Drosophila melanogaster: one gene and its partners. The protein of the gene in region 3 interacts with the protein of the main gene of each other region in a pairwise test. Each region holds a gene or a part of one and is shown on either strand. Other genes may lie near its edges. The genes, in order: Nep3, CG14118, CG15347 and BNIP3.

Evidence for each region.
Region 1: the proteins of CG15347 (region 3) and Nep3 interact in a two-hybrid assay, tested with the Drosophila melanogaster proteins (one large-scale study listed by BioGRID).
Region 2: the proteins of CG15347 (region 3) and CG14118 interact in a two-hybrid assay, tested with the Drosophila melanogaster proteins (one large-scale study listed by BioGRID).
Region 4: the proteins of CG15347 (region 3) and BNIP3 interact in a two-hybrid assay, tested with the Drosophila melanogaster proteins (one large-scale study listed by BioGRID).

Annotation. Positions count from the first base shown.
Region 1 is NC_004354.4:19,958,691-19,966,094, reverse strand, and holds the start of Nep3 (neprilysin 3), read right to left. Parts: upstream 4,799-7,404; 5' UTR 4,495-4,798; intron 4,407-4,494; exon of another isoform or gene 4,250-4,406; intron 2,920-4,249; exon of another isoform or gene 2,754-2,919; intron 2,141-2,753; coding exon 2,024-2,140; intron 1,314-2,023; coding exon 1,151-1,313; intron 1,090-1,150; coding exon 969-1,089; intron 899-968; coding exon 584-898; intron 519-583; coding exon 24-518; intron 1-23. Other genes in the region: CG12655 (uncharacterized protein), read left to right, coding at 6,728-6,794, 7,195-7,404. UniProt on the Drosophila melanogaster protein: Metalloendoprotease which is required in the dorsal paired medial neurons for the proper formation of long-term (LTM) and middle-term memories (MTM).
Region 2 is NT_037436.4:12,889,771-12,896,684, forward strand, and holds CG14118 (uncharacterized protein), read left to right. Parts: upstream 1-2,887; 5' UTR 2,888-2,942; coding exon 2,943-3,090; intron 3,091-3,554; coding exon 3,555-4,726; 3' UTR 4,727-4,988; downstream 4,989-6,914. Other genes in the region: CG43894 (uncharacterized protein), read left to right, coding at 454-514, 573-701, 770-1,287.
Region 3 is NC_004354.4:8,456,992-8,464,302, forward strand, and holds CG15347 (uncharacterized protein), read right to left. Parts: upstream 3,908-7,311; 5' UTR 3,833-3,907; coding exon 3,775-3,832; intron 2,392-3,774; coding exon 2,233-2,391; intron 2,179-2,232; coding exon 1,706-2,178; 3' UTR 1,503-1,705; downstream 1-1,502. Other genes in the region: CG32713 (uncharacterized protein), read right to left, coding at 15-569; Es2, read left to right, coding at 4,580-4,931, 5,074-6,227; Sptr (sepiapterin reductase), read right to left, coding at 6,530-7,311.
Region 4 is NT_037436.4:20,513,278-20,522,819, forward strand, and holds BNIP3 (BNIP3), read right to left. Parts: upstream 6,117-9,542; 5' UTR 5,731-6,116; coding exon 5,691-5,730; intron 4,028-5,690; exon of another isoform or gene 4,000-4,027; coding exon of another isoform or gene 3,984-3,999; exon of another isoform or gene 3,422-3,983; intron 2,856-3,421; coding exon 2,584-2,855; intron 2,510-2,583; coding exon 2,448-2,509; intron 2,347-2,447; coding exon 2,167-2,346; intron 2,107-2,166; coding exon 2,055-2,106; 3' UTR 1,322-2,054; downstream 1-1,321. Other genes in the region: CG32425 (uncharacterized protein), read left to right, coding at 1-409; mTerf3 (mitochondrial transcription termination factor 3), read right to left, coding at 6,340-6,617, 6,677-7,463; CG5104 (uncharacterized protein), read left to right, coding at 7,879-7,950, 8,138-8,307, 8,383-8,500, 8,878-9,009; Pss (phosphatidylserine synthase), read right to left, coding at 9,367-9,404.

The DNA of each region.
Region 1 (7,404 bases), about 12 Mb from region 3:
ATTTTCCCTTTAATTTCACTCACATTTTTCCCTCCTCGGTCTGTTCCATCTTGAGAATGATGTCCGATAGGTTCTTTAGGAAGTCGGGTGCGTAGACGACAACCACCTCGTCGTCGGTGACCCGGCGACCCACCATCTGCATAGCATTGTCAAAGTGATCCGTCCAGTTGAGGAACGGCGCCAGTTTGGACAGCTGTCGCAGCTGCATCGGATGATACATGGCCTCCTCGTTGCGGCGATCCTCCAGCGGAATGGTGATATTGGCCAGCTTCTTCTCGAAATTAATGACGCCGATCATCTGAGCGCGGGCATCCGATTCGTTGGCCCCGAGCAGGACGCACACCTTGGTCATGTACTCAATGTACTCGTTGAGCACCTTGCGGTGATTGTCCGTCTTGTTGTTGTAGTAGTCGGCGGTGGGCAGCGTCAGACCGCCCTGATCGATCTGGATGACGTGACGCGAGGAGTTCTTGTCATCCTCACCGATCGCCCAGCCAAACAGGCAGTTGAAGTTGTACCTGCAGAGATGAATGCATGTCAGCTACAATATATAAATCGCCATTAGAAACCCTGCTTAACTCACTTGTTATGAAGAATCTTTAGAGTGTGTCCCATCGTCCAGTTGGCCACGTTGTAGCCGCTCTTGGTCACGTTCCATCCTCCGATCTGCAGCAGTAGATCGTTCATGGGCTTTGCCCCCAACTTCTCCATGTGCTCATCCGCATCCAGGCATGATTCATAGTAAACCTTAGCCTTCCGCTCCGCGTCCGACTTAAAGCTTTTTGCCGGCTTCTCCAGTACGTTACGTATTATCAACTGGTTCATCTGCTCCAGCTTGCCGAACGTACCCCACGTGGATTTCCCCTCGGGAATGGGGTTGTTCTTGATCCATTGATTGCTGCAATTTTAAGCAAATAGTTACTGGAACTCCTCTTGAACAATTTGAATTGAATTTTTAGTTAACGCACCAGGAATATCCATAGAAGTCATCGCACGGATCCACGGTCACATCGATCGATTTAAGGATCTCGCTCGAGGCGAAGATGCAGTGCTTGTTCAAGCAAGGAAGCTCATTGCCGGAAGGACAATCTGAAAGGGAGACGATTGTGTATCCTTGGAAATTCCTAGATTACATTCACCCAATCCATACCTTTTTGGTGCGGCTGGACGTGAAGGACGTGCTTGGTCGCATCGCTGCTGCCTCCATCTGTGAAAAGGACGATGAGCAGCGTAAAGATCGTGATGGCCATCACAAAAGTCGTGATGAGCAGCCATTTCTCCGTCTTGTTTCTCGAGCGCCAATTCCATGTAGCCTGTGAAATGAAAACGCCGCATTAGCCACCAATCATTCTGGCCTCCACATGGCGGCACAAAAGATTCGCCCCATAAATCTTTTCCAGCGAATTGTGTGTTTTGTAAACAAGACGACGGCGGTTCAAATGAGTTCAAACTTGTACACATTGGGGTGGTATCTACATGGGATACATTTCGTAAGCGTAAGGCACTTGCCTGCTAATTTTTCCATATATCGCTGAGATATAGATAAATGGCTTTTCAGAAGCCGCAACGACTCATGAAATGCAGTCTCCAAAGACAAATATTGTACCACACTGTTTAAATTCTATAGTAATTTAACTTGCTTTTAGACATTTTGTTGATACAGTTGTATACGGTCAAGTGCTTTCGTATATCTATGGAATAATATCACATGAAGTTTAAATTTATTTGAACAACGAACCGCCTCTCAAAGCCATCGTTACCCTGTCACCAGATAGGGTATTCATGTCAGTTCGCAGAGGGAAAAGCTCACACCAACGCGCTCCCACTCATAAGAGCAGACTTTTCACTGTCAACTGGCAACCTTCGAGCAAATGAGAAAAGCGCTCACTTTGGCCCCATTTGCCACTCGTTTCTGGGTCATTGCCACAAAGATAAAGCTGAAGCCCAACGACAACTAAGTGGCTATCCGACTGAATTGCATTGCACGGATGCACGGTGTTACCCCGACAGGTTTCTTACATACCCGGGCGGTGTGGTAGCGTATCTGCATGCCCGTATGGCCGGTCGCTTCGTTCAATTGAATGCCGCCGATGGAACTCGAGTCGTCCTCCGTGAATTCGGTCTGCTTGTAGCGCGTCATCTGGAATGAGAATCGAATTGTTGCAAACCCATCAAATTGCCTACCAACGTGTATCTAATAATCTAAATATGTTGCTGCTATCTGTTATCACATGTTTTGGTCTAGGGCATCTGATAAGTAGACCGAAGCTTTTCCGCTCGGATTGTATAGATACCGTGCGTTCTTTAGCGCTCACTCAACGCCTTGTGCTTTACATTTCTCTCACATCCCCCACTGCTGCCCATTTTCATATGGTGCTCTATGTACTCAAAAGTGTTAACCCTTCAGCAGTCAGCAGAGCATTCCAAGTTTACGATATGCCTTGGGTTTTCAGAAAATGTGCATTCATCATAGGAACAATTTGCAAATTACCCAAACTATATGGAAATATAGAAATAGAAAAAGGTAATGCACAACAACTTAAGAGAAATATATGTATAATTTTGTACTAAGAGTTCCTCGTAATCTTTGGACTATTTTTACTCGCTATCTAGATATCCATTCGAAAGAAATCGCGAAGTCTGAAACATGAACATGAACAAAACCCATTCTCAACCACTTGTCAGCATTCCATGTCTAACTAAGGTGCCCAACTAAAAGTGAATGGGATACAGGAGCTGAAGCACGGACATACCGAACGGCAGTCGGAAAGCCACATTTTGGTTAATCTTTGTGTATGGGGAGAGCACGGTATGCGGTAGTGTGTTTATTTTTCGGAACTTCGACGGGAGGAGCTATACGAAAACAGAGCGCGGCAACGATACTATCTGTGCTTAGCCCATGACCGCTCGCAAGGCACTGGCGGTCGAGCCCGGAGAGCTTCGGAACTCAGGGACTGCGAGTTCCGAGTTCTGCGACCAACCAATTCAACAATGCCCGCCGAAAGCAGAAAACATCTACGGGCCAACGGCGCGTTATATTGGATAGTTTTGCATTGTACTCAAATTAATTGACTGGCGGCTGTGTGCGTGTTTACTGCGGCAATATGTGCCAAGATGTAGCCGAAATGGATATACTGGGCGCATTAAAATGAAAAGGAGCGGCATATGTATTCAATTAACACAATGCAAATATACACCAAAAGATTCGGCCTTGCTTATGTGCACTTCTATATATCTTCTATATCAACCCACCCATTTTCGGTATGCCGAATAATATTCTAATGTCGATTTGGGATCGGGGATCGGAAAGGCGCCATATGATATGATTTCGCACTCGATCTTGTTTGCCAACAAATTGGTATCTTTAAGCTTTCGATATAGATTTACGAACGTAATCTGGTGTCGGACAACAAGCGATATAAATAACATATGATGGATGGGGGCGATATGATATTGCAGGTATACAATAGGTATATAATACACGTGAAAATGGATGGGCCACATAGAACCACATTTAAAAACACATTAAGCAAGAGGTATCCCTCAGTTTGGACTGCTTCTCGCCACGATTTTCCATCGCAATGTAAACACAGGCTGCACACCAACTGACATTTAGCAGACTGTTGAATGTAAACACGCATTAAATGGCGTTACGCCTAACGAGCCCTCCTTTTGCCACCAATCAAATCGGCTAATGTATTGAAAAACAAGGAGGTAGAAAACCATTGAAAGGTTCGACTTAATGGGCAAATCAACGGAATTGACGTCTTAATACTTTTATGGGAAATATATTAAGTTCATAACATGATTGAATATGATGCAACTTTAGGTCCCATTGAAAATGATTAACTAAGTTATTATATACCTTAGTCTTATGCTCGAAATAAGGATATTTCACTCAACCATTTACTACGACTATTCTACCAAAGCGTCCATCCAAGGGAGTTTTAATGAACCGAACGGAGCCCATGTGAAAGTCAATGATGGCTACTTCGGATTCTCCGAGTTCATAAACGGCTCTTCATGCCATTTTTTTTGCAGGGCAACAGATGATAACTGCAGGGATTCACCGAATCACCACCACAATGGGATTTCACTTGAGCTGCACTGAGTTGAAATCTGGTAGAATGAGTGCTCTCGACTCGTCATTATCTGTCGTTATGCCACCTCCTTTCTCGATTTGGCTGCGAGTATCCTGGCTATTTGGTATACCATATGGTAGCTACTTCATTTGTGCAGCTTTCCTTACAATTTCTCTATACCAAGGACCATAAAATCGGAGCAGCTTAGATGTGTGAGTGGTGAGAGGGTGGTGTGCCTGGGATGCATTTATTCAAATGCAAATGAAATTATGACTTTGAATCGGACTGTTTGGAAGTGGTGTGGTGTGGTGGGGTGGTACTTCTGATTGCACATACAGCACACTCACACACTGACACACTCACACACACACACACACACGTTCAGCAAAAGAGAGGCGCGCTCTTGGCCTACCTTTGCGCTCATTTTCTTTGTGCGCTAGAAAGAAGGCAATGCAACTTTTCCAGCTCCCTGCGCTCGCTTTTTCTCGACCCTTTGCCGTTTATTGGTGCACTTTCGATTAAGTTTGGCCGACCCTCGATGGGTATAACATTCGATCGTTCAGTGATTCATTTAAAACGCGCTTATCTGCATTCCGCTCGCGGTCAAACAAACCGCTCTGAGCCACAAAAAGGCAACGGTATCCACCAACACTGCCAACTCGAGCCACTGACAGCCAGCTCCAGCACCAGCAGCAGCGGTAATCGCACTCGAACTAGCCTTTTCTCTCCAAATTTCACTCGGCGCTGGGAGTCGGGTGGTTGGACTCCCTCGAAAATGGAAAAACCATAACACAAACGTATTAGATGAGCAAAACACACACAAACAGAGAGAGAAATGCGTGGCAGGAGGGAGCGAGTTGAACCCATTGCCGGAGAACGTGGTCCACTGCGCAGGATCTGTTTGAACGGTGGCAACGCTTCGCGCAACGAGTTGCCAGACAATCACAGTGCCCTTCAACAAGCTATCGGTTTAACCCACGTAATCGAGTATCCAAAGCTAACGATTCTCGTAATTCTCAATTAATCAGCTAAATTTGAATACCAGTTACTCGTAGAGTAGAAGGTTATACTAGATTCGTTAAAAAAGCATTGTAACAGGCAGAATGAAGCGTTTCGAACTATATAAAGTATATATATTCTTGATCAAGATCAATAGCCAAGTCGATCTAGCCATGTCCGTCTGTCCGTATCTGTCCGTATCCGTAGATCTCAGGTACTATAAAAGCTAGAAGATTGAGATTCAGCATACAGCTTCTAGAAACAATGAATCCTGTGCGAGCAATGGCTATGAATAATGAACGTCAATGAACATGTCAGTCGAATGACAAAGTCACTATTCAATTTCACTATCTTCGGCAAAGCAGTAAAAATACAAGCATAAGGTATTGAATAGTCCATTAGCATAACCCTATCGGCCGACCTAAATTGCTTTACGTCACAACTGAGAAAGCAAACAATTCGCACATGCCCACCAATTGTATTGTGAGGCTTTTCGTTTTCTACATACATGTATGTACATATGTATATGTATGTTTGTATGTATTTTCCGTCGAACGGTAGCCACAACGTACCTGCATTGTTTGCCCGCCTCCGAACGCCACTCACCTGAAAAGTGCGAAACGGACGGACAACAATACACACATATATAAATATATATATATATATATATATTTGTTTATTTATATGCATATACAACATGCATATGTTAATATTTAGAAAAATATGTATGCAAAATATACTTGGTCATAAAAGATCAACGAAGGTTCGAATACAATTCGGGCGATCATCAAAGCACTGTGACTCGGCATTCCCCATTCGCCAGAAGATCTATGTACATATATGTATGTATGTATGTATCTCGACTTCTGGGGCAAACCAACATGGGAGCACACCTTAACCCAAAATGACCCCGGCCCGTGTCGTGCATATCATTAATGACCCAACCAATTATCGTGTTCTATACAGCAAAAAAAAAAAAAAAAATAACATCTCGACACTCGAACATGAAAGCACTTGAAGTTGCGTGTTCTCGTTTGGGAAAATAAAGTACGACCGCGGTTTTATGTTCTTTGATCGAAAAGAAAATAATCTCATCTGCATGTGGAACAAATAAACGATGAATGGATATGAACAATAAGAAGAATTAATACCACTAGTATAGCTAAATTTTATTTTGAGGATTCCTTAATAAAGCAGACGCAAATTAATTGAGAAAAGTGCGTCGACTAAAAGATACCCATTACCTGCAGCTAACCGAAACTATTTTGTTAATCTCAAGTCACAAGTCATATCTAATTACAGAGTGAGATAAATACAGGTTGTAAACTTGTAACAGAGAAAATTTTTGTGCAATTCGACTATATGATACCTAGTGGTAATATTTTACCCAAAAAGATTTAAGATGTTTAATCTGTTGTTTCGATTTTCGATTTCAGTGCTAAATAAAGTGCCTATTTTGATCATACCCCACCGAAACTACAGCTCCATTCAAATTGAGTAAATAAACACCAAATAATATGACTCAGGGCAGCAGAAAATCGCTATTGTTACTCATAACATGAGAGCCGAGCTTGGGAATCGAGTTTAAAACCGTCAATGGCACTTTGGAAGCGGTTTAGTTGAAGTCAAACGCGCATTCGGAAAACATGTCGAATTTCAATCGCATTCTGATCGTCATTGTTATCGGATTGGCACTAGTTCATTTTAGTGCTGGTGAGTGAAACGCTAACAGAACATATGAAAAATCGCACAAAAAATACGATAAATAAACATACGTATAAACCTCAGCGGCTTTTCCATGGAAAATAACACATCGCATTCGCACACACGATACCATTTCGACGGTGCCAAGTAAACAAATTCAATTTCAACTTCTAATGGAGAATTAAGCACTGCGATATTATCAGCAAATTATTGATCTCTTCTATTTGAAACCAAATATGAAAGCAAAATTTTTAAACTATTTGATTTAAAATGTGTAATAGTATTAGGTCTCATTTTGATAACGACCATGTAGCATGTTTGGTCCACGAGAAGTGGCGGGTACATTGTGGTCAAGGAAAGTTACCTTTTACATGCGTTACTAATTCAAGCACATTTCATTTGAATCCAGTGGATGCCCAGGCCGGAACGGTGCACTGGAACAATGGAAATGCGGCCGGCGTTGGCGTCTATTCGAGCGCCCAGTCCGGCGGGATGCATCCGCCGGGAAGTCTGAGTGGCCAGGATCCGCAGTTCAGCTACGGATACGCCGGCATCGATTCGCGTGGTACCTACGGTGGAGCGGGTGGCAATGGAGCCTACTACGTGAGCGGTACGGACG
Region 2 (6,914 bases), on a different chromosome or scaffold from region 3:
TTGGTCGAGTAATCATTCACTTAGAATTGTTGCGGATTCAACAATGCGGTTAAACTTCGTTTTAATTAATCAGTAATATCTATCAAGGCTGAAAGTGTGTGTTATTTTGTTAAGCAATGTTTATTTACCCCTGTTCAAGGCGTAGTTCAGAGACCGTTTAATAGATAGTTCTATTCGGCTAACCTACTGCTGAAATATTTAGGCAGTAACTTATTAATCGTGTAAGTTTTAATGTACTGCATTTAAACAGCCATACAAAAATATTCAATTAGCGCTGTTTAATGAACTTTTATTTATGTTAGAAAGAGTCAGAACAATAATCATCATATTTCGGTGATTTAATTTTGCAAATAATCATTACCGCAACTCATCAACCATGAAATATCAAAATGATATAAATATGAGGGATTTAGGGAAATGAATTTAGTTAGTTTCGGAATTTTACAAGAGAAAATGGAACTTGTTGGTATATATTTGATATTAGCCACGACGATTGTTGTCCAAGGATACAGAAGTAAGTCAGCGAACAGGATAAGGGATAAAATCTAAAAAATTCCCCACTATCAATACAGAATTTGGACTTAGTTGTGAGGATATTGCCTGTATATCTGGTAAAAAATGCATTGTATCCAGAGTTCCCTGCGAAAACCCAAATCAGCAAGAAGGAGAACAATGTGGAACCTATCCGGAGTGCCAATCAGGTTCGTAAAATTTTGTTTTTTCATCGGTTCACACTGAAATCTGGTCCTTTTCAACTGATCCGTTTCAGATCAGCTGGCCAGCGATTTCATCATCGACACTACACAGACCACTGCCAACACCCGAAACAGCATCATCATACCCAGCACTTCCACGAGTCGCAATCGGAATAATAGGAACAGTGACTTTAAACTGCTGAGCGATTTCAGTAACTCCGATACATTTGCCACCCATGCAGGCCAACGGCAGGCTAATGTTTTGGTTATTGTTCAAGATGGTTCCCAGCAACCTCAACAGCCAAATCCTTGGCTAAATCGAGGACAAAGTCCTCCCTGTACCATCAGTCCGCTCTACCCATATTCCTGTACTTATCCCCGTTATCCGAATTCGGGAGCAGGATTGCCTTCTTATACGCAGCAGCGATCGGCCAATGGGCCACAATTAGTTCCTCCCACTCCACCATGCTACTATAACTGCTATCCCAGTGTGCGGTCAAGTTCATATGGTCAATATGGATACCCCCTGTCTAGATCAGCCAATCCCTCATCAACCAATAACTATTTAATCTACCTCACATTAGCTGGCTAAAAGACCAGGAGCTTTAGTTATGTGCAAATAATAAATATAGAATCTATTATCAACCTTTTTTTTTCGTTTCTATATCTTCGCCAGTTTTGCACCGTTTCCGGCGAACGCCACAAATGCCTTATCAGCCTGTGGGGATGCCAGCTTCAATGCCACCCGGGTATCCACCACCTCGCCCACCGTTTCAAATGCAGCAGCCGCGTCAAGTTGCACCACAATATGTGATTCCACCTCAGCCCAACCCACAGTACGCAATTCAATACCAGGCCAACCGGCAATATGCCATGCAAGGACAACCCAATTCGGCCAATCCTTGGCTCCACTTCTCAGTAGGGATGTCCTATCCAACGTATATGAACTATAATGGACGTTCCGCTGGGAACTCACTTCCATCATTTTACAATCCGTACCCACCCAGTTATAGTACCTATAATTACAATATTAACTTACCCTTTTCGGGTGGATCTTCCTAAGATCTTCGATACTGGTTAAAAAAAATTCAAAGCTACTCAGCACCGGATGGACTCCTTCCGAACATTATTTCATTACTTTCAAATTTGTCGTTCCTAAAATTAATAGCTAATACATATATTTGTCAGCTTCTCTGGGGGAAACGATGACGGATTCCGAAATGGATTCTGATGCAACACTACCACAATTTCACAATCGATCGGCACGTCAGATTCCAATGCGTCCCATGCCAGGACCAATGCCAATGCCAGGAGCGCTGCCGTATCCTGGTCCTGTTTCAATGAATGTACCATCTCCGGGGCGTGCGTATTATCCCTCGTATATGGGACAACCTTATATGGGACAACCGTACATGCCAGGTGCCATGCCCATGATGCCAATGATGCCCCAGGGAGGTGGAACTATGGGTGGTACCAGCATAATTGTGGAGCCCTTAATAATCCTGCCAATGGGCATTGGGGCAGGCACGGGTACGGGCGTGAATCCAAATTCATATTATGGATCGAATGGAGCTTATCCCACGTATAACAATTACAATCCCTACAATACGTACACTACTGCACGACCCAGCTACGACTATAACAATTATAACAACAACAATAATAACAATAACAACGATTACAACTCATATGGTTAGATTTCAATTAAATGATCCCCGAAATCTACATGATCATTATTCATTTACAAATGAATCGAAAGCTGTCCAGGTATGAATATATTGTGTACATACATTGTTTGCCAGGTCATTTAACAATAGATTATTTTCGATTATTAAATAAGAAAAATGTCAAATATAATTGACGATTAATCTTGAATAAAATTATTGAGATACATCATTCGCGAGATAAATCACTTTTTGTTTTAGCTCTGTAAAGAAAGGGGATCGACAAAAGCAAAGAACTTAATGCGACCTAGACCTAAATACACATACATATGTATAAAGGTATATAGATAGAAAGAACTCGGAAGTACTCAAAAAATGCAAACAATCCAATGGTATTATATCTTTATTCTCAGAGAGATTACAAGACAAAGAAGCAAAACGAAAGAGAGAGCGAGAGAGAGAGAGAGATGTAAGATACAAGAGCACGAACTGAGAATATAAATAAAAACACCTGTTCACCAAACAAATAATTCAGTCGGCGGTTAGATAGCAACTTAACCGGTCGAGTTGAGTTTCCAACAAAATGATGCTTCAGTTTATCGGCCTAATTTTGGCGGTCGTGATTCTGCGAGAGATTCGGGCACGTGAGGCGATCGCAACCATTCCAGATGTGGGTCAGATAATCAAAGATCTCGATGGACTGCACATCGATGGAGAAATGTTTCATCAAGGTATGTGGTCGCCTAAAAGTTAATAACCATACGTTTATCCAAAGCAGACTGAGCTTTGTTTGAGTAGTTTGACTGTAGTGGTCACATTCGGAATGAAATATATGTACATTTTGGAATGCAAAAAGGTCTGATGTTTGTTTTTCTTAAAAAAAACTATATTGTAGAAACAATAACCTTATTTACACATAAAAGTCACCTGCTTCAACAAAGTAAAATACATAGCACCAAAGGGCTGGAAAATAAATTAGTCTTAAAATTGGTTAAAATTCAAAATAAGAAAGACTTAAATATTTAAAAATATATATATGAATATAAAATTATTATATTACAATTGTTATATATATATTGTTCGTATATATAATAATATTATTGTGTTGTAAAATATTTAATCTTTATGTCATCGCCTAAAATTATGCCAAGAATTTTTAGCCACATCTTTTAACACACCTAACTTCCCATTTTAGGTTCTCCCTGCAGAGTGGATGTGCAAAATGATCTGCCCCGTTTGGATAAAGTGCAGCCGCTGTACCTGCGCCCAGGAACAGATCTCTACTGGCTGCCCAATGCTTATGGGCACCTGGAGGTTCAACGCGGCGCCAGCATCGAGCTGCACTGCAGCCATTCGTTCGCGCCCGCGAATGGAGAGTCTTTGGATGCGAAGCTGCGTTCCATTCGGGTGAAGTGCGTGCAGGACACCACCTTCGAGTGGATGGGGGCTAAAATCCATTTCAGCGACTTTGTCTGCAATCACTCCATGCCCTACACCGTGGAGCGATTGGACAGGAGTTGTGGCAGCGACACTCCGAGTCCATCCACCTCGTACTTGTATCGCGTGGGCTATGACACCGGAGATGGCAGATTTGTGGCCACCATGGAGCTGTGCCACGACCCAAATCAACTGCGCACCCACTACGCCCACCATCAACTGACACCGGCGAATGTGCACTTCCAGAAAAAATTGAAACGCCCGAGGTTTAGCACCGCCGGCCATTTCACGGGCTTTGACATGGCCAGAATTTATTCGCCCAAGAGCCAGGAGAAACTGATGGTGCCCGGCCTCATTGACGTGAAGAGTGGTCTGTTCCTGGCCCGCGGACATTTGACGGCCAAAGCGGATCTAATCTATGCTAGCCAACAGAAGAGCAGCTTCAACTACATGAACGTGGCGCCGCAATGGCAGAGCTTCAATGGTGGTCAGTGGTCCAAGCTGGAGGAATCCACCCGACAATATGTGGCCCGTTCGGGCATCACGGCCACTGTGTATACGGGCATCTATGGCGAAATGAAGGTGGCTGGCAGCAAAGTCCTCCACATGACCACCAATGCCAATAACATAGGTGTGGTGGCCGTGCCCCAGCTCTTCTATCGCGTCCTCATCGACGAGGGCCATCCGACCCGCGGAATCGCTTTGGTGGGTGTGAATAACCCACATGCCACCCTGGCCCAGATCCACGAGTCCTATATCATCTGCGATCCAGTGGAGGAGTCGGTGCAGTGGCTTAGCTGGCTGCACAAAAGCAACGCCAAGGGTAACCTGAAGAATGGCTATCTGTATGCCTGTTCGGTGGCGAATTTGGCCCGGGCTGTCGGACATTTGCCACGCCCACTTCTCGAAGTGGATGAGCTGCTCACTTAGATGTGGGCGGTGGCGGTTCGATTGCCCGTACTTTTAAGTGAGTGCAATAAAGACTGAGTGAGTTGTGTGACACAACTGCAGTTTGGTATTAGTGAAAATCACGTCACAACACTGCAACGAATGTGCAAACCCTTGAAAACAATTTTGCAGAAATGCATTACTGTATAAATATATATACATATATTTCCTTTGAGCTATTAAGAATAATTCATGATTATCTGGTACAAAAAAAAAAACATAAACATCATAAATCTTGGAATTTAAATAAATCTTTAAAGAAAAGGTCTGCAGATTTTGTCAACCTAACAAGTTAATTTCCATGAAGGAGTCGTCCTTGCCCATTCTTTTGCCAACCATCTGTGCCCATTCTTTTGCCAACCATCTGTGCCAGTTTCGTGTGTGTGCTCAGATTATTAACGCTCGTGTGGGCTTCACGCCATCAAAATCAAATGGGACATCGTGTGTGGTCATGTCGGGGGCGGGGCCACGCCCACGTTGGTGCCTCGAATCGGGAAATGCTATACACTCGTTATGCGATTGCCTTGTTGGCGAGGGCGCAAAATCGCTGGAAGAAATGGGGATATCAAATACGGCTCGGCTGCATTACCTTCATGCCGTTCACAAAACACAATTTGTTCCACAACATTGATTTAATCCTTTTTCTTCTGCGCCACGCACACACACACACACACACACACACACACACACATACACGGGAAATACAAACAACGCAACGCACATAAAATGGCTGTCGTGAAGAATTTTCTTAAATTTTCCGCTGGCTTTTTCATGGCATTTCCCGTCGTGGAGCTATGTCCTTGGCATTATCATGAATATTTGCCCCCTCTATTCAGTGCTTTCGATACATTTCCATTTGCTGATTTGAAGCGCACTTTCCACTTTTCCACACCCCAGCTCCTTGCCGCCTTTCCGTTTTTCCGATTTTCCGTTTTCCGCTCGCTTAGGTCGGTGCCGGTGTATTCGAAATGGGGCAAGCCGAAATTATGTTTTTATGCTTCCTTGTGCGGTAAGCAATATTTGCTCAAGTATCCCTCACAGACTGTTGGACAGTAATCATCAAATGGGGCACAAAGAGTTGGGAAATTTGTGGTTCGTGTTTCAAGAAAACGAGGCGGAAAAACTAATGAAGGGTTAATAAAAAAACTATATCGTATAGATTTTATTTCATTTATTAAATAATTTAATATGACTAAGAGTATAGCACAAGTTGGTTTGTTAGATAGTTAAGCTAGAAATGTAATTATTTAAAAAGTCGAATATAATTAAAACAAATCATCAAACAAGCTTCTTTGACATAACACGAGTTTGGAAAACTTATGCAACAAAAGTTTTAATAATCAGTTGATGGAACATAAATTGAAAAAATAAATCAACGAAATACGTAAAAAGGTAACCAATTAAAAACTGATTTCTATGCAAATGAATTCTTCCGACAAGAAACAATATAACTTTCAACTTGCCTCACATTCCCTGGAAATTAAATGTTTTTTTTTTTTTGTTCTGTTTGCCTAGCTGAAAGGCACTTGTAGCAATCGTATACCGCTTAAGGACATGAAATGGAGTGCAGTACAAGGTCCGAAGTCCAGACGACTTTCCTTAGTGGCCATAACATTTTTCCTTAAAATTGGTTACAAAAACAAGGAATACAACAAATTGCTTCGTTGTTGTTTGTCTTGTTTCTTTCGCAGACTTGATGAAAGTTTATCTGCTCCATGGAAATTGTGAGGTCAGTGGCCAAAAGGAGCAGCAGCAAGGATACCACCGACCAACCGAAAAAAAGTCAAATAATTGAACGCACTTCGCGCAGATGTTGTCGGGATTCTTTTTTATGTCATTGCTGGCAGAAGGATATGTTGTGTTGTGCGGCCGCCAGCGGAAATTATAATTTATATTTGGGTTTTCGCTCGGCCTCTGTGTGTATTTTAATATCGCCACCTCTTGTTTGGAGGCCAGCTCCAGTGGGCCTTGTTTTTTATTTTGATTAAAATGCATATTAAATATTTGGCAAACAAACAAAAAAAGAAAACGTACTATAAAACCAACTGAAATGTATCAAATAAAATGATATATATAAAAAAAAACAGTGCAGAATACATAAAAAATATAATATAAATAATTTCCTGCTACCGCCTGAATTTATTTCCCGCTGTGGGTCCTGCTTCCTTCC
Region 3 (7,311 bases):
ACTTCTCATTGTCGTTATTCGTGGCCTTCTTCTTGAGATCCAGAGAATCCATGAGATCCAATGGAGCAATCCAGCTCCGGTTCCGTCTGGCCTTTGAGCGATAAATCATCGGTTTGAATTGAGGACAAATCGTGTCCAGTCATGTCCTGGGCCTCCAGTGCATCATCATCGTCACCTGCGTTGAAGTTTAGTTGACTTTCGTCGTCCGGTGGATTGACTAGGCCACCAGGATATTCTTCGCGTTGCTGATAGCCACCGATCAGTGTAAACATAACTTCACTATCGTCTATCCTGCCATAGCCGAACTTGCTTAACTTGCTGCTCTGATTGGCCGTCAGGACGACCGGCTTCCAGGTGAGATCCAGGGTGGACTTATTGGGCCCCAAATCCTCCAGTACGCTCTGATTGGATAGCACGCGACCCTTGTACGACAGCCGACTGAAGCCCATGGGCACGGACATGACTTGCCCGATCCGTGCCTTCAGGCTGGCCACCGTTCCTAAGCGATCCACCTCGTAGACGGTCTTCTTGCCGTCGCGCGTCTGAACCAAAACTTGGACCTTCCGCATCCTGATGCCCGAATTTATATATATATATATATATATATATATATATAGATAATTTTAGATTTTATACACAAGCTCTGTGTCTCCAGGTGTAGTCTGCTTTGTTCGGATAGAAGTTTGCTTCTGGAACCCCTTGTGTAAAACTGTCGTCGTCATGCGAATGCCAGTGCGAGTAAAATTTCATGGCATCCTTGGATTACCTTATAGCCTAATCAACATTTGTTGATTCTCCAATCGAATTTCATAAACAAAATCGAAGAAAATCAAGTACAAGCTATCAGAAAGTTGATGGCAACGAAGTTCTAGCGAAATGAATTTGACTACCTAATTGGAACAAGAAAAAAGCATTTAAATCAAATTGACTAATATTATAACTTGCATTTAAAAACCCGCACAGTACATATGTATATATATTTCCACGTACGTATGTTGCCTATAAATAGTTAGTTTAGTTAACAAATCGCTGGAGCCGAGTACCATGCACAAAACTGATCTATTTCCGCACATCCAGTTCGATCGAATGGAAAATGGCATCCGGAAAAGCGAGCCGTGAAAAGTAATTGACAAACATTCGGAGGCGTCGACACATTTATGCACTCCTCATTTGCGCCGAGAGCTTCCGGTTTTCCAACTGCCACTCCGGTACTTGCGGCTCGTCGTCGATTTCTCTTGGTCTGGGATCGGAATCGAGGAATAGAGGTATAGGGTATCGCAATTGAAATCGGGACTTCATAAACACAGTGGCATGTTGTCAACTGCAGTGCCAACCCGTTGACACCTCGTAAAAAGTGAAATGTGTGTTCACTGTGTTTATGCATTAAAGTTTTATGCTTACTTTTGCTTCAAAAAACATTACGATGAAGAACTGTTCAAAGTGAGCAACGTTTTGGTTATCCCCCAATCCCAAAATGTAATAACTAAACCATTTCTATTTTTGTCTTCTTTAGTTTAGTTATCTTTATTAACGTTTTGTTCAAAGTAATGAAATAAACGAGTATAAATGTAACATCCCAGTGTATGTATGTATGTATAATGATGTTTTAGAATGTAGAAAATAATAAGACGGGAATTTCTAAAAGAACTGGGTCTGTGGCATGATTGACTTTCGTCCATCATTCGACTCTGGCCGTCGTTACATCTTAGAGTCTCCAGGCGGCGACAAGACCGCTGATCAGCAGCGTCATGGAGATGATCAACTGGGCACCGCTGTCGCGTGCCAGCGGAATGTTGGTATCATTGGCCAGCAGAAAGTTGCAGCCGCGTCCCTCGCACGTATAACAGTTGCCATCCTTGACGCACTGCTTCCTGGCATTCGCCGAGGTGAGACAGCCGCGCTGGAAGGATCCGTCCACGGTGCGATTGCTATTGCGAATGTAGCACTTGTCGCCGAACTTGTACAGCGGGCAGATCTTGGCCGATACATAGGTCTCTGTGGCGCAGGACGACGAGGTCGAGTTCCCTGTGCACTGTAGGCACATGAGGCGGCTCAACGGGAAGGTGTTTCGATTGCATCCCTCGCTGTAGGTGCACAGCTGGCACAGTAGCTCGTTGTTGCACGAATTACGCGTGGCGTTGTCCAGATCGACGGCACAGCCGCGAATTGTGTAGCCATCTGCGAAAGATACCATTAGATGGTGCAGCCAGGGTAATCAATGCGATAACATACCCAGGACGCGGGAATAGCAGTTGGAGGATCCATCGGAACAGTTGCGATTGAGCAGGCTCAATGGATCTGTGGCGCAGCGTTCGTTGTCCTTCGAATTGCACTGGATGCATCCATCTGCAAATTGAGCGAGTGGAACGGAGCGTTTCGATTGAGTCATGCCTGATTAGATTAGATCAAGTTTTTCGTAATCGTTGCGTTGGCATAATGACATCATATTGATTTCGTGCAAAGTCTGCCTACCTACCACAGTGCATATGTGTTTGAATGTGTTTGATTATTTCTTTTTATGTATCTACCTGCATGCCTTATTACAATGACGCGCACTGTACTCGGATGGCAATTGTCTCGATTTTCCACAATCGATTCTTACGAACATGCCCATGACAAGTGAATCAGCAAACTTGTATGTTTTTGATAAGAAGAGTCAATTTACATTGGCTATAAATCGAAAGCTTGCAAGCAAATTATATTTAGCATATCAGGTGGCAGTAAATATTAAATATTTACCAAGTGTTTACATGAAAGTACGAATGTACGAGATTATGTTTCAACTTTAATAATGAAACGGAATAACTATGTACTTCATCACAAAGAGAAATTAAATTACCGCTGACATACAGCTGTGTTCATAAAAATAGCAGTGCTTGAGTTTAAAATAAAAAAATCTTAAGATTTCAAGTTTTAATGGGAAAATTTTTTTTATAATATCATTAGGTATTTAATTTTAAACAATTCAACAAATGTTTCACATTCATTTTTTTAATAGTTTCGAAAATATAGATTAAAACAAGCAGAAATAGCAGTGCTATGAAAAAATAGTAACAAAATTCAACTTGACTTAGAACGAACTTATTCTTAGCCGATTTGCTTCTGCGTTTCTTTATTTTTTATTTTTTTAATTTATTGCCCTTTTAAATATACAAATTCAAATTCAAATTCAAACTCACTTTTTAGAAAATATTGATCATTTCGGGAGTTTACGTTGGTCAAAACCAGACACTGCTATTCTGTTGAACAGCCTAAAAGTTGTGATTTTGCTCAAGAATGTAAATAAAAAAAAGGATAGCATAGAAAACTAACGACATTTTCTTTTTTTCCCTATCTACACATTCCAATTCACAAAAATAAGTGGAATAAAAATTCGATCCCGAAACATGAAAAAAAAACCGTCGCATTTCTTAGTTTCTCTTGCACTGCTATTTTTTTGAACACAGCTGTATGTACACATGGTTTAAATATATGGCGTACAATTTTCACATCTTTTTGCTGGCTCACTCACACTTAGAAAAAAAAGAATATGTTTGCCCAGTTACAAAGCTAAGAACCTTTAAAAGTTTCTTTGGAAACTCGCCTATTGATAGCTTATCATGAATTTATTTCCGTGTCCATGATATCACCGCTTATCACACCTTATATAAAACACTCAATAAGTTTTTCAATTCAAAGAGCAAAAAGAAAATTAAAAAAAAAAAAATACGATCCCGATGAAAATTAAAAGTGAAACTTATTTTGGAACAACATTTAGGCAGGTACAACATTTACCACAACTGATGTAGGCCAAAAACGAGAGGGCTGCAATCACCAACAGGTAAAACTTCATGGCTGATAACTGATGTAACTAATTTCACGACGATCGAATGTTGCGACTGGTTACGGAGCTGAACCAGAACTAAGGGAGTAGAAAAGGTTCAATGAGTGATTTGAGTTTTGCCGAGCTTTATACCCTATTCATATATACCTACAGCTTTACGATAAGGCACCACGACAACAGTAATTCTATTGGTGAGTTGAGAAAAAAAAGTGTTTTGAAATGATTCACGACGCTAAAGTTGTCGCTCTTTGGCATACATTCATTTTCATAAATTATGTTCAGCGGGTTAGTCAGCGCACTTGCGAAACTTCCAGATGTTTTAAAAATATATCTTTAATGTTTGCAAAATCGTAATAAATTTCATTTTCAAGTGCTAGCTAATCGCATTAAAATTTCAATTCAAATGCTAGCGCGCATTTGAATGCGTTCCACACTTATCGATAACACGTCGATAAGTACTCCTTGCCAGAGTTTTTAATTAATATAGTTTAGCAAAATATCATTTTGTTTCTATTTAAATTTAAATTGGTTCATACTCACCAATTTATTGTAAAGGAAGTCGAAACTTTTAAGCTGATTAATTTCACCTTTTACATCCGAGAATTAAAAAAAAATACAGGGAAATATTTTGAACCGACGTTTTGTTATTCTGAGTGAAACTTAAAACGGTCACACTTTGCTGGCAGACAAAAATATTCACTTTTTATATCTAAACAAAACAAAGTTATTTACGAAAAAAGCGAGATATAAACGGCAATGAGCGCCACGACTAGAACACCTGCCACACCGGGGACACCTGGCACTCCCGGCAGCCTGGCCATGGAAGTGGCCCGCGTCCAGAATTCAGCACTCGCCGAGTTTAAAAAGCCCACGGCGATGGTGCGCCACAAGAACAAGCCAAAGATCCTTACCGAGGAGAAGTACATCGAGGAGATGTCTAAGATCATCCAGCGCGACTTCTTTCCCGATCTGGAGCGGCTGCGTGCCCAAAACGACTACCTGGACGCGGAGTCACGGCGCGACTTTGTACAAATGGCCGAGATTCGGGAGCGCTACAGTCTGGGCAGGATTTCCGGGACAGGAAGAAGCACCAGCCGACGGAATAATGGTGGGTATTGTACTCAATTGGATGAACACCACTGGCACATCGCTGTCTGCTACTATCTTACTTGAAATCAAGTCTGATGAAATTATACATTGGCCAAGTTCAATAGATAGACCCATTAACTTTTTGAATTCCTTCATTTCAGCCATGTCCCCGGCCACATTTGAGACACCAGTGAGTCAGGCGAAATGTAGCAACACCCCATTGCCAAATTCCCGGGCCACAGACACACCATTTTCCACGGACGGCTCCGAGAAGAGCGATGCCGAGGGCAGGGACACCACCGCGAAGCTATCGCTGGACGCCTTTCTGCAGAAGTACACCAGCGAGGATAACCAGAGCTTTCAGGAGATCATCGAAACGGCCGAGGCCAAGCTGCGCCAAAAATACGCAGTACTGTACAACCATGAGAAGCTCTCCGCAGAGCAACTGCAGCGGGCCCTAATGCTGCCCAGCATAGAAACGCAATTCGAGGAGCCAGATCCGCTGAGAAAGATCGAAACCTGGAACTACACCAACATGAATTCCATTATGTACGTGCCCGATGGCGTGGAGTACACAGAGGAGGAGCGCGTCCAGTTGGCCGAACGGAAGCAGAGCATCCAACACAATGCCACCAGGCTGCCCGATGAGGCAAAGCATCGCGAAATGGACACTAAAAAGCTGAATGATGAAGTGCCCCAAAATGGGGCTGGTGGTGCCACAGCTACTCCGAAGGTACGCGGCTTCGATTTGTTGCGTTCACCATCACCGCGACCCGGAGAGGCTTTCTCGCCCATAATGACCTGGGGTGAGATCGATGGCACTCCCTTTCGCCTGGACGGAGGCGATACCCCATTGCGGCCCACACAAGGACCCTCGTTCCGGATTAATGAGAACTCTCGGCGCGAAAACATCGCCATCGCTTTGGCCGAAAGGGTCAGCGAAAGGATGCGAAATCAAAAACAAATGGCTCTGGATACGGCGCGTCGTAACATTGGCTCACCACTGATACGCACCAATATGGAACGGCTGGCCAGCATGTCGCCGGCAGCGCAGCTACTGGCCACGGGTAAGCTGGGTATCCGCGGCACGCCCCGATTAAGGCACACACCATCGCCGATGAGCGGCAGAAAACGAAAGGTTACGCCCGGCGTGGTGAGGAGCACCAATACGCCAATACTGGGTGAACCCAAACCCAAACAGCAGGCCAAGATTAGCACTCCGGCTAAGAACGTTACCATTGATACGGGATCCACGCTCACGGACGATCTGCTCAAGATACCCACTAAACGACGCACTGCAGCCGATTTCTTTTAGTACATAACATTACCCATAACCCAGCTACATTATTCATGTTTAATTTCATTAGAGAATACTATACATAGTCCCACAGTGTTGTTACGAATTGTATATTTCTTATAAATAGATGCCGAGTTGTTGGAAAGAAGATTTAAGAATGCGTAAATCATAAACATCATACACATATCTTATCAGCTTTGAAGTTCATTAAGATGTATTGGGTGTTGTAGCAAAAACACTTGCGCACATTTTTAGTTTCATTTTAATGTTTCAATACGAAAAACCCCATTACCACAGATAGCAACATACTGATTAACTAGCTAGAACTGCTCATCCCTGTAATCCACATGATCGCCGGACTTGAACTTGAATGCTTCCAGGACTTTGATGAATCGCTCCGTCGTTTGGGCGGGAGTCAGCATGGTCTTGGACTCCCTTTGCTCTCGAAACATGGCGACCACGGCGGGATCGTGGGCCTCTCGCTGAACCTGGACGGTCATCTGTGTGTCTATGACGCCGGGCGCGTAGTTCAACACCAGGGTGTCCTCGGCGGACTCCTCGGTGGCCAGCACTCGGAAGTACATCTCACGGGCTGCCTTCACCGTGCAATAGTGTGCCATCGAGGATATAGGTGCAATGGCTGCCAAGGTGCTGAGATTAACCACCAACTTTGGGATTCCCTTGAAGACGCGCATAAACTCGCAGTTTAGCGAAATGGCCGAGAAGACATTGGAGTGGTAGTAGCGCTGTAGGAAGTCGGTATCTCCGATTTCTTTGGCCCTCTTTGACGTATCGCCCACTGTGCCGGCATTATGAATGACTATGGCTCGCTCGAAATTGTTCTTTCCACCGGATGCCTCCAGAATCTTGGTAAAGTCCTCCGTTTTGGCCGTTTCCAGCTCCAGCGAATAGGTTTGCACGGATAGATCTGGCACTGTGGCGACAATCTCTGCCTTAGACTCCTGCAAAAGGGTTTGATTGCGTCCCAGAAGCGTCACCATGGAACCCTCGGCTTTGATCCGTTTGGCTAACTGCTGGGCGAACTCACGGCCAATTCCACGTGATGCACCGGTCACCAGGAGATATGTGCGCTGTTTCAGGT
Region 4 (9,542 bases), on a different chromosome or scaffold from region 3:
TCCCAGCGGATGGCATAACATAGTAGACTTCAATGGACGTGTGACTGGGGGAATCGAGGCGCACGTGGAGCCCATATCGCCCAGTGTAGATACCGTAATCGATCAGTTCGAGAAGTCCATGGAACTGGGTCACTTGCAGTTGGGCCAGGCCATCAAGCGCAAATACACGGAGCTGGAGGAGATCTCGCAGAGATTGCGATCTCGGCTGGTGGATGTGACGGGGGAAACGCTGAAGTTCCCGGAATTCGATGTCGACTCCGCATTGGACAGTTGGCAACAGGAGGGAGATGACGATGATTTAGCGGAGGACTTTGAACGCTCCCTACGCACTCCCACGCCCCCTGGCTCGCCAACGCCCTCCACCAGCACCGCCGCACAAAATCTCAGAAACTCGAACGGTCAGGAATAGCCCAGGGCCAAAAGTCAGTTAAGAATGTTTTTTCCTCTCTCCACATCTCGATGTCGTCTCTGATATTGGCTCAAATGGTAGCTATAGTTAACCATCTAGATTTAGGCAATATATATATATATAATGCGCGGATCTTAATCTGATCTGATATTATGCTGTACTTAAATTGGCATCCCAGTTTTGCCTCGATTCACCGTCTTATGGCTGTCTATATAGCATAAAATCAAAGCTAGCAACGATCACCCAGCGATCGTTTCATTGAGTTACAAATCGTCGATTGAATATTGTTTTAAGTCACGAGGATTTTTCCCAGCAACCACACGGAATATGTATTAGTTTCGGAACTGTGTTAATCACCTAAGTATTTAGACACTATTACCTAATAAAACTTTAAATAAAATTACAATTGCTAAAGCAACTCAAAAACAGTTAGTTTATGCACTTTAAAGGGCGGCAGTTTAGTTCGTATCGATATTGCATTCGCTTGGCAATTGATAACAAGTCTAAATGATCAACTAACAAAATTAGTTGACTATTAGCACATTATGATGAAATTATCGCTTATACTGACTCACTGCTGATAATCTCAAAAAAATATTAATGGCGAAATGCAAATAGCGGGTTTTTCCCTTTATATACACAAAGGTAATCCAAGCCCTCACTTATGTGAAACAGTTTGATAATGCGAACAGGTACACGTCTAGCGATTTTCAAAACAACAGGCGACTTATTCAACAACAAGCACCGGGAATGCCTTTTAGACAAAAGGCATCTCAAAATACCTTGCAGCACTTCCCTGAAAATCCCTTTCATCTCACTAATCCGTCTTTCCAAGATTATAAAATTCTCAAAACTTTCTAAGCCATCTCTTGCAATTCCGTAAAACCCACCAAAGAAAAATGTTTGCAGATGCTCTTTTAAATAGATATTGAAAAATATTTTAATATAAAAAATCATTACAACTATTCTGTTTTTTTTGTGTGGGGGATAACCCTTCCCTCACATTAAAGATATAATCTTATGTGTGCCATATTGTTTTTTTTTCTCCTTTTGTATCGTTTTTCTTATATGCTTATTGTATCGAAACATTTGACGATTGTTCAACAAAAAGTACAATCAGGATACAATACGATTCAACTATAATATGTCTACAAATGTTTATGGTTGTTCTATATGATGTATGATGATGAAATTGAAATTCTTAACACGAAGTTCGGCGTACATTTGTATTGGATATAATGCACGGTTGGGTGCTAAGACATACGGCTAAAGCAAAATATATGGAGCATCTATAAATGCTTTTCTGTATCATTAGATTTGCTGCCTTGATATAATGTTAAATATATAAAATTATATAAAATATGAAAACGCTTAGTTTCAACCATTGCCCAAAGGCCTGTTTTAGTTTGCTGGCTTAGTAATTAGAAATTACATTTTTATAGGTATGTACTGAATGAGAAGGTGTCGAAAATATAGACTTCCGATAAAAATACAAATGAGTTGGAATACGGTTGGCTGTATAGATGTGTATACTTCGTTTTCTTATATGGAACGCATCGTGTTCTGTTTTCGATTGATGTGCATATTGATAGATTGAAAACGATTATATATATTTCCTCTTTCTCCTTTTTGTTTATGGCATCTTTCAGTCAATGACCACACGGGTAAGGAGTATGCCACGCTTGCTCAACCATAGCCTATAAATAAATACCATTACATGAAATGTGAATCTGGTGAAGATTGCTAGAGACCCTTACCCGAATCCAGCTCCCAGCAGCAGGGACAGGACGTTGGTCACCAGCAGCGAGTACAGAATTTCGCGGGAGAACAACGAGTTGGAGCCCAGTCGCTTCAAACGGATGGAGTAGCCTGTGTTAGTCTTCTTTTTCTCGCCCTCGTCGCCGGCATCCCGACTTGAATCCTCAATGTTCCAGCTACTGTAAATAATAATTCAATGAATGACCATTTGTGGTAAAAGGCCGCAATGCTCCAAACTTAGTTCTAGATTCTAGAAACTTAGCTAAATAAACTTTCATACCTGGGTGGCTGATTCCAGTTCTTCAGCCAATCTTCATTGCCTGCATTCTGTTTGTCTCCTCCCTGGCAAAAGCAAAAACAGAGACTGGCATTGTTAGCAAGATCACCTCGGTTCCGCCTCGATTCTCATCTCTTACCTTGGTCCAGTAGTTGATGTACACGTTTCTGAGCTCATCATCCGGACAGAGCTCCGACTGGGGACTGTTCGGTGGACTCTTGGGGCTATCACGGGGCGTATCACGACGGGAGCTGGCCAAGGAGACGACACGGCTCGACTGGTTCGACTCGCGCTGGGCCTCGCGCAGAAGTCTCAGGTACTCCTCGCCATTGTTGAATGGCAACGGAGTGATTCTGTCGGGGCTCTTGATGCCAGCCATCGCAGCTGTTGTGCTGAGTTCGATCCAAGATTCTGGAAAGTAGATCATTAGCATGATAGACTGGCGAACAAAGTGGGTGAAAGCTAAAGCCAAATGGGGTGAAATTAAATATTTAGTTGGTTGCATTTGGAGGTGGTTAAATATAGCACAGGCTCGAGGGTCGAAACCTTTTGGGGCGTGTTGAATAAACATGAGAAGTCCAAACACAGACGTGCGTTATGACGTTCTTTATTGAATTTATACAAACGAAAACGTTCTAGGTTCGTTAACAACAATTTTTAATTTAATTTTAGAAATTTTCATACAGAACATATCAATATTTTACGATGTTTAAGTTTTGAATGGTTTAACCCTATTTAACTGTTTATTTATGAAACAGTTTATTTATTTCTAAGCTGATAAACGTCAGTTTAAAGTAATCCCTTGTCTAAAATTACACTTGCTGACAAAATAAAGTAGTTTCACTTGTTTACTCAGAAAGGCGTGCAGTTTGAGAGCCACTGTGCGGCGGCAGCGGCTCTAAAAATGTGCCATCGTCACCCTTTCAGCGTTTGTCTTCGTTTTTGTTTACACGTAAAAACATTTTAACCATACATACGTTCGATTCGTTAGCCGGATCTGCAATGTATGTGCTTGTATATATCTGTTCGAGTGCTCGTGCCCCATTGATAACGCTAAAAACCCCACCACTCGCATAATTTCCGTTTCTTTTCGGCATACTGTGTATATAAAGCAGCACACATGTTTTGTTTATAGTCTATACAAGCCGATGCTTATCAATGCTCTACGGAGAAAATTTCATTTTCAAAACAAATCGAGAAAAAAGACAAACTGGCGATGCAATATGGGCACGAGAAGCGTGCAAGTTACTTGATAAGGAGTACAGTGTAGCGTTCCTAAAAACTACCTAATAATACAACCAACTGATTACATGTATACGCATATATATAATCACACATACGATCACACCCAACGCCTCTTATATCATCTATTATTCACTTTCTAATTAATTAAAATTAATTTTTTCTATAATTTTGTAATGTCACATTATAAATTTAAAATCTTCCTGGTATTGCTTTCTCTCGAGTTATCACTGTACAATCATCTAATTTAGACACTTTCGCGATGGAATCAGTTACAGAATAATTCAGATCACTCACGTGGCACACCAATCATGCTGACAATTGAATACTAAATGCATCGTCTAGACGAAAAGGATGATGCATTTATGATGGAAATGTTGCGAAAATAGAAAATGGAAATGCCCGTATGTCAGGTAGACGCAGAAGTTTTGCACAGGTAAACAATATTTGGAGCATTATCGGGAATCCGGGTTACAGGTACGAAAATGGAAACAAAAACAAAAGCAAAAGTGCACAGAAGGGTGGCAAAAACAAAAACAATGGCTTTGTGACTCACGGCACGTAGGCCTCTCTCCCTCTCTTTCGGCCAACCACCCTCCGTCTCTCTCTAACAATCACTCCCCCTCTCTCTCTCTCTTTCTACCCTACCCTCTTCGGGCTTTGTCGGGTGTGCATCTTGATGCGCAGCTGTCCAAAAGACCCTGAGTTGGGCCCATTGAACCGCCTTTATTATTGGATGGATGACTCCTCGGTATCATGATACGATTTCTTGCGTAGTATATGGCACAGTGCACAAAGAAAAAATGTTTCTCTAAGTTGGTCATTCATTTCGCACGTGTTTTAAGGTCAAGAAACAGATCAAGCCGGCGCATTACTTACACACTTATTTCATATACATATGTACATACTTAGCTTTAAAAGATTAATATCAGATTCATTCAAACGTATAGAAATACATATGAATAATATTTATATGCTATCATTGATAACGGAATTCCACATCCAAACTGTGTCAAACCTTTCAAAAGTGATGTATTTCATAACATATGGTTCGATTTGGGCTAAAACTGATTAGATTAATACTGCTTGGATGGTAGTAAATTGAAAAACAAATTTTTCGTCCGGCATTACTTTTGTGAGTGACTTTGCAGAATTGTAGTATAATTTCTGTGGTAGTCAACAACCTTTTCGACAAACAAACAAAGTGCTTTCAAGCAGTCAACCAAAAAGATTATACTTTATGTCAACAAAATATTTCAACATTTCGTGCAATTCCTAAGAAAATTTATTGAATATTGTCCATCATACGATTTTCATAAAATTAAGAGATTTTGAAAAACACATTCAAGTACGTTGATGAGTATAAATTTATATAACCTAGTTTTTCCGCGAGTGTAAACGTGGATGTTGATAAAGTGGGCAGCCGAAATACAATTGAAGCGAATATGCCAAAGGCGCAATTTCTGGAAACGACCGATAGGGAAATGCCCTCCCACAAAATGTATTTATTTACGAATTATTTTAGCAAGCCAGACGGAAGAAGAAGACCGGGTCGGGGAAATGGGGAGCGCAAAAAGTAAACCACAACTGACGTCAAGCGTGCTAAGTGCAAAGTAAAGGAACAAGACATGACATGAATGAAAGAGCGGAGGGAGAAAGAGTGCGTTGGCAGCTTCTTTGTCTTTGTTTTCATACGGAGTTTTGCGGATTCTTTGTTGTCTCTCTTTCTTTCTCGCCCCCTCTGCGGAGCAAGAACAAGTGCAAAGTAAACAAATAAAAGCAGAAAGAAATCAAAAAGCAGACAACGCAAAGCCTTGAAAAAATATGGGATGCGGATACTAACAAATTGCAAACAACTCCATAAATACATACACATGTCTAGATACTCTCGCAACAACAACAATGCGGCATAACGGGTTACCATGTTATTGTTATGATTGTAAAAAGGGGAGACGCAAAAAAACACGAATGAAAGAGCAAAGCAGACGAAAACAAACAACTTACCGCCCAGCAAATCTTCGCTCGATTTTGGTGTCGTAGACATTTTGTTTTTGTTTATCGGTATGTGTGTTCAACACGTCAACACCAAAGATAACTTGGGTTTATTGCTTATTATTAACTCGCTTTAAAGTTAAACTATTTCTATTATTCTTTCGTGAGTTTGACCAAGTTTTTTTTGGCCCTTCCGTATGTCTGCCTGTGTTTGTGTATTCGCTTTTGCTGTTTATGTATGCGTAGGAAAATGCGTTTTACTTTTCGTTTGGCGCTGTTTCTCCGCCGCTGCACTCGATTTGACTATAACTACTGGTTTCGGACTGAAGCCAACCGCTGGAGCTCCGAAATATTGCAACTTTGTTTAATGCTTCTCCCGAAGCGACTGTCTTGTAACTAAAATTAAACACGATTCGTTTCTACGCACAAGCTTAATGCGTAGTTTAAATCTTTTGTTGCTGTCCAGTGTGACCAGATGGAGAAACGGTAGCAATCCAGGTGCGTGTCTATGTTTTCCTACATCTGGCATCCCTTGTATCAAGTAAATTTATTGGTGGTTATTTTTAAAATGATAAAACTTGGTTTCTGTTGACTTTTGAAAATATATGCATATGCATATATGAATATGAAAAGTATATATACATTTACTTTTATTTTATTCTTATCTCGTTTTCAAAAACAAATCAAATGTTTCCAAATCACTTTTAGCCACATTTCGGACGAAATAAAAGTTATTGCCTTCCACTATAGTTTTTGGCGATATATACAGGTCTTTTTGCGGATCATATTGCGCTCTTCCAAGCAATTTCAGGAACTCATGACGTTCCCGCAGTCTAAATTCGCGTGAGGCCAAAAGCTCCGGGCACTGGACAATCTGGGCATGTGGAAGGCCCATATCCTGGTGAATGTAACTAAATCGCTCGACAAGATCATCCGGAGCTGCAAGGATAAGTTGTTTAATTACAAATGTCCTTAATTTTGAATGTAGATAGACTTACGAATCATCAAGAGGCGCGGCTTTCGTACCACCAGGTCACTTAGCTCCTTGGCATTGAATCCCATTTCCTCCTTAAGGGTGAACACAGACTTGCGGAGGTGTTCCATATTGTAGGTAATGGCATTGGGTTCTCTGGTGGCCAACAGTCGCAGATCATGACCACTCAATTTGAACTCCTTTTGGAAGTAACCCAATCGACGATCCACTCGCCTGGTGGAGAACATCAGCCAATAAGGATTCTGGGTGAGAATTCTTTGCCTGGCTTCGTCCGAGAATCTCTTGCTTTTTAGATAGTTCACTCTGGTCTGCAGATCGTCCAAGTCCTCCTTGAACAGCAGCGGGTTCTTGGTGAACATCCTGCCGAAGTCATCGGGTGATACGCCCTGATCCACCAGGAACGTTATGTAGGGCTTCACATTTTTCTCGAAATCCAGCTTCAGTACAAAGTCTCCCAATCCCTTTCGCCGTTCAATACTGTGCAGATCCACTCCCAAGCTGAGAAATTGCTGCAGGGTACTCGAGTTGTTCACATAGGCCGCCAAATTGAAGGAAGGCACATGGGCCTCCCGATTTCGGAAGTCCAGAGCCACTTCTTTGGAGCCTTCACATTCCGCAGGCTCGGTCTTCTTGTCATTCTGTTTGGTGGTTATACCCGGTGATGTTAACACTTCTACCTCATGGTGGACACTTTGTTGTCCTCGCAGATTTCGTATTTGTGAGGTAATTGTTGCGTTTTTAGCCGCATTTTGTGAATTCCTCAAAATGTTACGTAGAGCTGAACAAAACATGCTGGAGGCGTTGCCAGATGTCGCGAATGTGACCAGCAGTTGGCTGCCAAAGTTTCTAAATATGGCATGCTAGCTAGAAAAAGCTAAAATTATATTTTGAATATGATTTTGATATAAAAACATATTTGTTTTTAAATGGATATTCTTGAACAAAAATGCACTACTAATATCTGATTTCTTTAGTTTTTTTATGAAGATATATATAAAATTGCAAATTGTTGGTATAATTTTTAATCGGACGGTATATGTTAACGGTTACCACCACGGTCACACTAGGTATGATCTTGGATTTATTTTGGTGTGAAAATTCCGGAGCATAAAAACAGAAGAGACCCTTGTATGTGCAAAACCCCCCGAGAGGAGTGCCGGTAATTCCAAGTCAGCCACCTGTTGAACATTATTCAATCGCCGCATAATGGACAAGTTGCGCCGCGTTCTGAGTGGAGATGAGCCCACTCCGGAGGAGGAGAGCAGTATCATTACGCAGGTGAAGAAATTTTCTAATGGTACAGATCTCATTAGATCCCTTAACATATTCTGGCTGGAGGAATTATGATTATGGCGTGGCTTAGGAGCTAGCCGCTGGCAACGCCCCGCGATCACATGGCGCCCCAAGCCGTGTGACCCAACGCTTATCAAAGTATTTAGTTAATATCAATCAATTACATACGCAGATCAACGACATGTCCACTTTGAGCTGGTCCACTCGGATCAAGGGATTCGTCATCTGCTTTGCCTTGGGCATCTTACTTTCCCTACTCGGCTCGGTCGCCCTATTTCTGCACAGGGGCATTGTGGTCTTTGCGGTCTTCTACACTCTAGGAAACGTCATCTCGATGGCCAGGTGAGCGAGTTGCTGGTTCCGTTCCACTCGTACTTCACACAAGCCGGCTAATGAGTCTCTCTTCTCCGGTTTCAGTACCTGCTTTCTCATGGGTCCCTTCAAGCAGATCAAGAAAATGTTTGCGGAAACACGGCTGATCGCCACCATCATCGTGCTCGTCATGATGGTCCTGACGTTCATCGCTGCTATTGTGGTAAGGCGTCCATGCTCAAATCGAAGATATCACAATTATTTAGGGTTCGGTCGTTAACTTTTATAATCAAGTTAGTTTTATAGCGATAGCATGACGAATTTGTTTGCAGGTTTTGTAGAAAACTTTTCCTTAATGTTTAGACTTTAAAGTTATCCAATGAAATAGCGATCCAAATCTTATACATACTTCATGAACTCACAGTAAAGTTAAATGAAAGCTTTTAGCATTTTACTTTTAATATTAATAACACAGTTTCACATGCCCTAGCAATTAAATTCTGAATATTGGTTTAATTCTTATTACTTGAACAAAAAAACAGTACGATGCAATCGATGTGTGCACTTAATATGTTATTATTTTTATTTGATTGGCTTTAGTGGAAAAAGGCGGGACTCACGCTTATATTCATTATCATACAATCTCTGGCCATGACCTGGTACTCGCTGTCGTACATCCCCTACGCCCGCGATGCGGTCAAGAAGACCATGTCGGCAATTCTGGAGGTCTAGAATCAGATGCGCTTCTGTACATAGCTCGAGAAAAGCCAGATTGGTTTGTAGCTTAAGCTAAGACAATTAAATCTTTTGTATTGTATTAACCTAGCACTAGAACATAGAATGTCCTTTATATTCTCTTATTAACAAGTACAATAATTCCATTTTGTCTTTTTAATAAATATATATATATATATATATATATCTTTTATACATATATATATATATATTTACATGTTATGTATTTAATTTAATCAGTACAGTTTTCTTTAGTTTATGTACATAATTCTCTTCTCTGTTTTGGTTTTTAATTTAAAGAATGGCCCGATCCACTTTGTTTCTGCAGCTTTAAAGTTTATTTATATCAACTTCTTATTTTAGTTTCTTCTCTTTTTGCGGCGACAATTTACCTAGAAAAGTGAAATGAAAAATTGTAGATCAAAAGTAGCAGATATAAAAGTTAACAATAACTGGTTAGACTATTTTAATTTTAATATCGTAGTGCATGATGTTGGGTGCATCAATGGAATTACTCCTTGGCAATTGTG